Linked DNA regions of Drosophila melanogaster. The protein of the gene in region 1 interacts with the protein of each later gene in a pairwise test. Each region holds a gene or a part of one and is shown on either strand. Other genes may lie near its edges. The genes, in order: Obp47b and CG2698.

Region 1 (3,386 bases):
CGTTGATTTGTAGGTGAACCGATTTATAGTGCCGTTCAGTAAAACACACCACTTGGCCTAACGTTTTGAAGAACTTTCGCAAAGCTGCCTTGAACTTGTTGAGCTCCTTCCAATCATCTGGACTTAGTTGAGCAGCGCAGGGCACATGCTTGGTGGACAATATCATGACATGGTGTTTGTTAATCGGTCCTTTGGCCAGAGCAAGATAAAAATGTTCGCCCACAGTGATAATGAGATGCTTCTCCACATCAGGTGAGGATAAACAGAACCAGCATTTATCTACAAATATAGGAATAGTATTAAGGATGCAGCTTGTAAAATTAAGTACTAGACAAACCTTGCTCAATCTGCGGTATTCTAGGACGTTTATCTCTTTTGTTATTATCACCGCCTTGTCGCTTGCGTCTGCCACCATCCATGTCGTAGAAGTATTGTCGGTTTTCTGACTGAAAGAATATATAATTAGTCACTTGGAGTACTTATAGATATGTAAAGGTTACCCACCGAATCATTCTTGCCAATAGCTCCGCCTAAGTCCAAGCCAATGAAAGGACACGGAATTTCATTTGTTGTCTTCTGCGCTAGGTCCAATAAGCGTGATTTGTCTACTGGCTTCAGGCTGAGTGCATAGATGTACTTGGCTTTTTCGGCATTTCCCACTTCCGCAAGGGAAATGAAGCGAGTGCACAGTTCAAACTGGGTAGTCTCATCTTTGGGCATCCGAAAGGGTGCGCTTTCGTAGTGTGTTCCATTAATGGCACAAAAGTGATAGCGCGGCTTTATTTCACGACAAAGAAATGATACCAACTTGGATGCTGTGGCCTGAGAAGAGGAATTAGTTAGTTTCACAGTAACAAGTGCTCTAGATGTATATTTACGTTTTCCTTCTCCTGCATACCAAAGGGCCATTGCGATGTTAGGAGCACATCCACACCGCGGTACTCTGTGGAGCAGTTCTTGGACACCAAACATGAGTTCCTCACAGCGATGACATCGGCTTTGGTGAACTCGTGTTCCGAGCCAGCGGAATCTGCAGTGCCCTGTGCCTCCAAACCACTTAGATAGGCAATTTTAACACCACTGCTCAGCGTGTAGACCCCACGTCGACCAAGATACGTAAGATTGGTGCAGATTTCACCGTCCGTCAGATTTTCAAAGTATTTTTCATGCTCCCTTTGGTTGGGTCCCAGGATATAGGTGGGAACAGTGACTAAGTACAGGGAAAGGGTTAAGAGAATAATAAATGCTTATATTACACTTAACTTACTATGCTTAAAACCATTTTTGTAGGCAATCAGTTCCTCGTTTTGCTTGTCCTCCCCGAAGAAGTCACCGACGCAGCAAAGGATTTCGAAGGGTCCCGCTTTTTTGTTGACCTGCTCCACGCGCTGAAATAGCTGCTTGAAGCGACCTCGCACATCGCCCACAACTAGGCTAGGAGAAATAAACAATATTAAACCCTTAAATCATATAATTTATACCATGTTTTTTACTCACATTTTGGTGCCCGCGTCCATGGTTATCGATAACTGAGCAATCGATTGAATCTTCATCATGTTGGTACTGCCAACTTGGTGCATTAATTGGGCGGCAGAATTCGTAATGGAAATCTAATTAGGTCATTGATTATTTTAGAAATATTAAATTTCTCAAAGCCAAATCATGTTCCTTTTACCGAATTGGAACATAATTCTCGCAATTATAGACCATTTCGAGCACCATGACACATTTTACAGCAGCATTCCCAGCACCACAGTTTTTTTTCGGCAATTGCTGTTTAATTGAGCGAAGAACGTTCTATGCTTATATAACGAACTATAACCTTACCGCAATGTCAATGGCCCAAAACATGACATTATTTATGACATTGGCCCCAAACAGCAGCAGATTGCAACAATGAACTTTTGCTGGGCTTTTCTGGTCATGCGTGGCTGGCACTATTAAGTGGCCATTACTCTTTTCGTTCCATTAGATTTGGAGCTGCGTGAGGGATATAAAATGGGCCTTGCGATTTCATATTCATATCAGTCATTTTACTCACTCAATTGCAGCTATGTCGCCCAGTCAGCTTCTTGTGATCTTCGCTTCGCTGGCCCTAAATACTCGTCTAGTATTTGGCCAAGCCACGATTGATTGCCAAAGACCACCGCAACTAGTGGTGGGTTTTGAGTTTGGTTTTTTTTTAATTTTAAAGTGATTCTTAAGATATTTTGACACTTTCCTAGGATCCCGCACTCTGCTGCAAGGATGGGGGTCGCGACCAGGTGGCTGAGCAGTGCGCCCAACGGATTTTAGGAACAGCAAATGGACAGAAGGCAGGAGGTCCTCCATCTTTGGACACGGCAGCAGTGAGTAATCTCAGCCTATGAAATTGTTAAGAAGTCGCAATACATAATACATTATCTACTTAGTGCCTAGCTGAGTGCATCCTCACATCCTCCAAGTATATTGATGAGCCCCAGAAACTAAACCTGGCAAACATACGCAGTGATCTCTCCGCTAAGTTCTCCAACGATACCCTTTACGTGGAAACCATGACCATGGCGTTCTCCAAGTGTGAGCCCCAATCGCAGCGCAGACTGGCCATGATCATGCAGCAGCAACAACAGGTGCAGCAGCAAAAGACGCAGCAGCAACAACCAAGATGCAGCCCCTTCTCAGCCATCGTCCTTGGGTGCACCTACATGGAGTACTTCAAGAACTGCCCCGATCATCGGTGGACTCCAAATGCCCAGTGTACTCTGGCCAAGGCCTACGTAACGCAGTGCGGTTTGGGTGCCTAACATCACGACCTGATAGAGATGGTGCTTGTACAATGTACATACGTTTATAAAAAGTAGTCATTAAATAAGAATCAAATTAACTTTTTATATTCATCTAATTTTGGATCGCTGGAACTAATTAACGAGGTAGTAACTATGTGACGATCGCACCTGAAGTATACAAACGATCTGAATTAAAACTTGTGACGAAATATTAACCGTTTTTTAGATTATCTCACTTTGTTTAGGTTTGAAATAAAATATAAAGAAAATGCTATTTTATATTGTTGTTCTTTCCGTTAATCATAGAAGTACGCACCATATACATTTATGTAACATGGAGTAAGGCTGAAGGCTGGCAACAACCCGGTTGGCAGCGCTGTTGAGCAGCAACATGATTGTCGGAAATCGAAGTTATCGACAATCAGTCATCGAAGGAACGATCGCAAGGCAGCAGTGGAGTCGAGTGGAAGTCAGCGTTGCAGTCAGTCGAGTTCTCAGCAGCAGTCGTTCGGTCACAAACTAAGAATACTTTATATAATTACCGCATTTAGAATTAAACTAATAATTAAATTAATAATAAACAATAATAATAAACAATCTTACATGGGGGCTCGTCCAGTC
Region 2 (3,928 bases), on another chromosome or scaffold:
CTGTGATCGTCTTGTTAATTAAATCCTTGCCCAGGTAAGCCACCTCAATCGTCTCCGAGTAAATGTTCACGCAGAAGAACACGCTTAGAAACACGATGATAAGCAGCATGAGGATGATCATTAGGATGGAGGTGACTGATTCAACGGAGGCCTTTAGTGAATCCCGCACGATAGTGTTGATTTTATAGTTTAGTTCCAGGACACCAGGTAGACAGAGTGGCAGCACGGCAGAATGGTGTTCGATTGCCCAGAACTGCAAACATAAATATAAAAAATGTAAATTCATAATATACGAATTTTATGTCTAACTCACACGCAGCGCTGCGTAAACTTCGCTAATTTTGTTGCAAACAAATTTAGTAATTCCCGTATACTCTCCTACGGTGTAAATAAGATGCAGAATTACTGGGATTGCCGCTAGGATAAACATCCACACGTTGCGATAGAGGAATGTGCCCAAGCAGGCATAAAAAAGGAGCTTAAAGAATGTGTCGCTCTGGTGACTGGGAACCTCCGTTTCTGGCTTGACATCAAACGTGTCCGTCGAGTCGACAGTGTCACTTAACGATACATCCTCCACATCCGACTGCAGCCCCGGACTCAGTGGCTCGTTGCCTGGTCTGCCACAAATGCTGAAGTTGCTTAGCGATCGCTCAAAATCGTTCTTGTCGAACAACTTTTGCAGGCGGTGAAGATAAGATCCCGAATCATCTAGGGTTTGCAGATGATATGCCGTAGATGCTGTTACATAGGTCATAACCAGTAGAAATACCGGCACCTGCAGGGCGCCAAGAAAGCTACTCAGATAGCCCGCTACAGCTATCCACATGGATTGTCCGGCGACCACGAAGTGGGCACTATTCTCTGGCCTCCAAAAGAAGTGGACGCAGCTCAAGTAGACCACGATCAAGGAAATGAGCTGCAATCAATTAAAAATGTTCTGTTTTTTCGTTCTTTTCTATATCAACTGGTTTTTTTAAGATTTTTTCCTATGATTCACCATCGAAAAATCGACAAGGAACTTACCACGTATACGTTGAGGAATCCAATAATTTGAACGAACAAGCCATGGGAAAAGGTGATCCAATGCCAGATGGCCAGCAGAAAACCCTTCGGTGCATATAAAACCAGCAGCTTAATGCACCCGGCCACTCCGCATCCGGCCAGGAGGAGTTGCCAGTGTTCGCAGAGCCACCCGATCAGCAACCGCCCGCAATGCTCTGTGGCTTCCAGCGGCGATAGGCAGATCGAAACCAGTACATTGGAGTCGCGCACCTCCAAGCGGTGAAACCAACTGTTTACGCTCTCCGCCAAACGTCGCTTGAATGGAAAGAGCACGGCGCCCATGAGGAAGGCCCACAGCAATGGACGGACGAAGGGCCCAAGAATGAAGCACACAGCGACGAATGCCGCAACTCCTGCGGCGATCAGGAAATTGTACATGGCGGCGCGAAAGCTCTCATGATTCTGGGACCTCATACGGAGCAGGCGGTTGATCACACTGTCAAAAGAGCGGTCCCGTCGAATGGGAATCGGTTCGGACCGATTCATTTTGCGTGTGCCCGGAGAAACGGGGAACTGCAGTCGGATAGAGAAAACGGGATTAGAGCTTCATGTCCATATGAGTAGCACAGCCGAATGACTGTTCTCGGAACTGCTCCACTGATGGAAACTCACTTTTGATGAAATGCCTCAGTGTTCAGTGGTCAGCAACAGATGGATTCCTACGGGGCCTGGGTGGGATTCCGACAAGGAGATACTAAATTCCGCAACTAGAGGTGGTCATTGGACGAGCAGCTGGCCACTCACTTTATGAGGGGCGGGGAGCGGACTCACATAAACAAAAATACGTCGTTTCTGCCAAATTACGTCAGGCGGGCAGGGCTGGGAAGTGGGTCGGTTCGCAACACTGGCAGCCAGCCGATACACAGTGCGCATCCCCTAAAACAGAAATAATATCGCATGAAATAATTAATGTTTGTTGTATAAAATATTATAAAAAAAAGTACACATAGATATATCTTAGAAACAATTGCCTAGGAGCATACAAGATATAATCTTTACAAATTGGCTATTGATGCGAAACAGGCGTACGTAAAAAGGGTAATTTTTATCACATACTTACTGTAATGAAGGCCATTGACGCTTTTCAACACAGCCACATTTTCAAAACAAAAAACAGACGCCATGGAAAGTAAGCGCATTAAAATTAATCTTTACTGTTATAGAAATACATTAATACTACAAATTATGTACAGACTTTTCACTGCAGCAGTTGATCGAGTTGCAAAATATCCAGAAGGAACTAAACAGCAACAAGGACACGTACCTAAAAACCTACCGCCAAGTACTCAAAAAGAAATTTAGATCAGAACTGAACAATTTGGTAAGCTGCAATTGTAAAATCTCAAATTTGCAATATTTACTTTATTCACAATTACATATAATCTCGTATAGGTCCGTGCTGATTTCAATATAGTCAAAACCGAGTTAAAGGTTCCACAATTACCACCACTACCTCCAGAAGATGAAAAGACTACAGCCACGGTACAAGTAAGTTTGTCTAAATGTTATTAAGTCTCTAATAAATACTTTAACAGTTCAGCGATATGGCCAAGGACTACGAATTCACTAAGGACTGCTTGTCCTTGCTGTAGGACTCTTCTGACCGGTCTTTGGTGCTGTTCAGCCAATATTTATGCAGCACGTGATATGTGTGCTGCAGACACTCAATTGAGGGGGATTGACTCTGGAAAAAAGGAGCTTAATCATTAAATACATACGTTTACATGAACGAAAGTGAACTCACATTGAATAGGGGTATTATAGGGCGCTTCTTGAATTGACTTCCTTTTGTACGTAATATAAGCATGTACTTTACGTCCAACTGAAAGAGAAACAAAGTGAATAAATATTAGAAACATTAGAACTTGAATCCTTAACGTATGTCTATCAGCAATAGTTCGTACGTCTTCAATAACTTCGTTTAGCACTATGTCCTCGATGTGTCCCCTTTGGACGCAGAGGACCGATTCCCTGCCAAAGGAGCGCACCGTCTCCATTTGGAGTGCCATGTCCCAGCTGTAGAACAACCGCTCAGCCTGCACCAGGTTCAGAGTGGATCGGATGAGCAGGATGGCCACGGAAGCACACGTTATCAGTGGGTACAGAATACGGGGCTGCAGGAAACTAATCGTTCTGTTATCAAACCCGCAGGTCCCCACAAAATAAGCGATAGATAGGAACATGAGCAGCAGTAGTCGACGCAACTTGCGCTGCAGTTGGATTCCATGCAGCCGGTTCACCAGTTCGATGCGAACCACGTCGCCGCCGCAGTGCTTGATGCACAGTTCCAAGTCCGCTTCCACGGCTCCTTCATATTTCGCTTGCCGGCTATAATATCTGTGGATCGTCACTTTGGGCTCCATTCCTCGACCAGGTGTTACCAGATGGTGAAACGGGTTAGTCTCAAGTGGTCAAACAGTTGTGGTGGTTTGCCACTAAATTCAAATGGAACAGTTATCAGCACAGATAACAGTGAATGTATTAAGTCCGTCTATAATTTTATATTTCTTTATATCATTACAAAGAGGACTTGCATCTCATGTATATCTTTTTGATTTAGTATTTGGGAAAAACTAGCTTGTTCCAAAATAGCCATTATATAATATGCTAATAACTTGTTTCCACTACTCGGATTTATGGTATTTGATGTACGCATATTTGCTATATAATTAAGCAGCTATCTGTGCATTTTGAATATTTTTTAATTGTTAAAAAGAAGCTTATATGCATATAATTTAAAATATTTATAAAGTATGCCTTATTAGAGTTCATATCGGTATTTTATCCAGTATCTTTCCGATGCGTTTTGACGAAGTCTTACAAAAGCTACTTGCTGCACATTTTATTGGCGCGAAACATGAAT

Evidence for each region.
Region 2: the proteins of Obp47b (region 1) and CG2698 interact in a two-hybrid assay, tested with the Drosophila melanogaster proteins (one large-scale study listed by BioGRID).

What each region holds. Positions count from the first base shown.
Region 1 is NT_033778.4:11,301,644-11,305,029, reverse strand, and holds Obp47b (Odorant-binding protein 47b), read left to right. Parts: upstream 1-2,042; 5' UTR 2,043-2,053; coding exon 2,054-2,158; exon of another isoform or gene 2,159-2,225; coding exon 2,226-2,348; exon of another isoform or gene 2,349-2,411; coding exon 2,412-2,783; downstream 2,784-3,386. Other genes in the region: CG7741 (uncharacterized protein), read right to left, coding at 1-279, 338-446, 505-822, 879-1,210, 1,268-1,434, 1,498-1,580.
Region 2 is NT_033777.3:7,999,545-8,003,472, reverse strand, and holds the start of CG2698 (uncharacterized protein), read right to left. Parts: upstream 1,912-3,928; 5' UTR 1,678-1,911; intron 1,579-1,677; 5' UTR 1,552-1,578; coding exon 1,027-1,551; intron 920-1,026; coding exon 314-919; intron 254-313; coding exon 1-253. Other genes in the region: Kmn2 (kinetochore Mis12-Ndc80 network component 2), read left to right, coding at 2,188-2,194, 2,259-2,386, 2,458-2,553, 2,601-2,657; PIG-H (phosphatidylinositol glycan anchor biosynthesis class H), read right to left, coding at 2,621-2,749, 2,810-2,887, 2,970-3,428.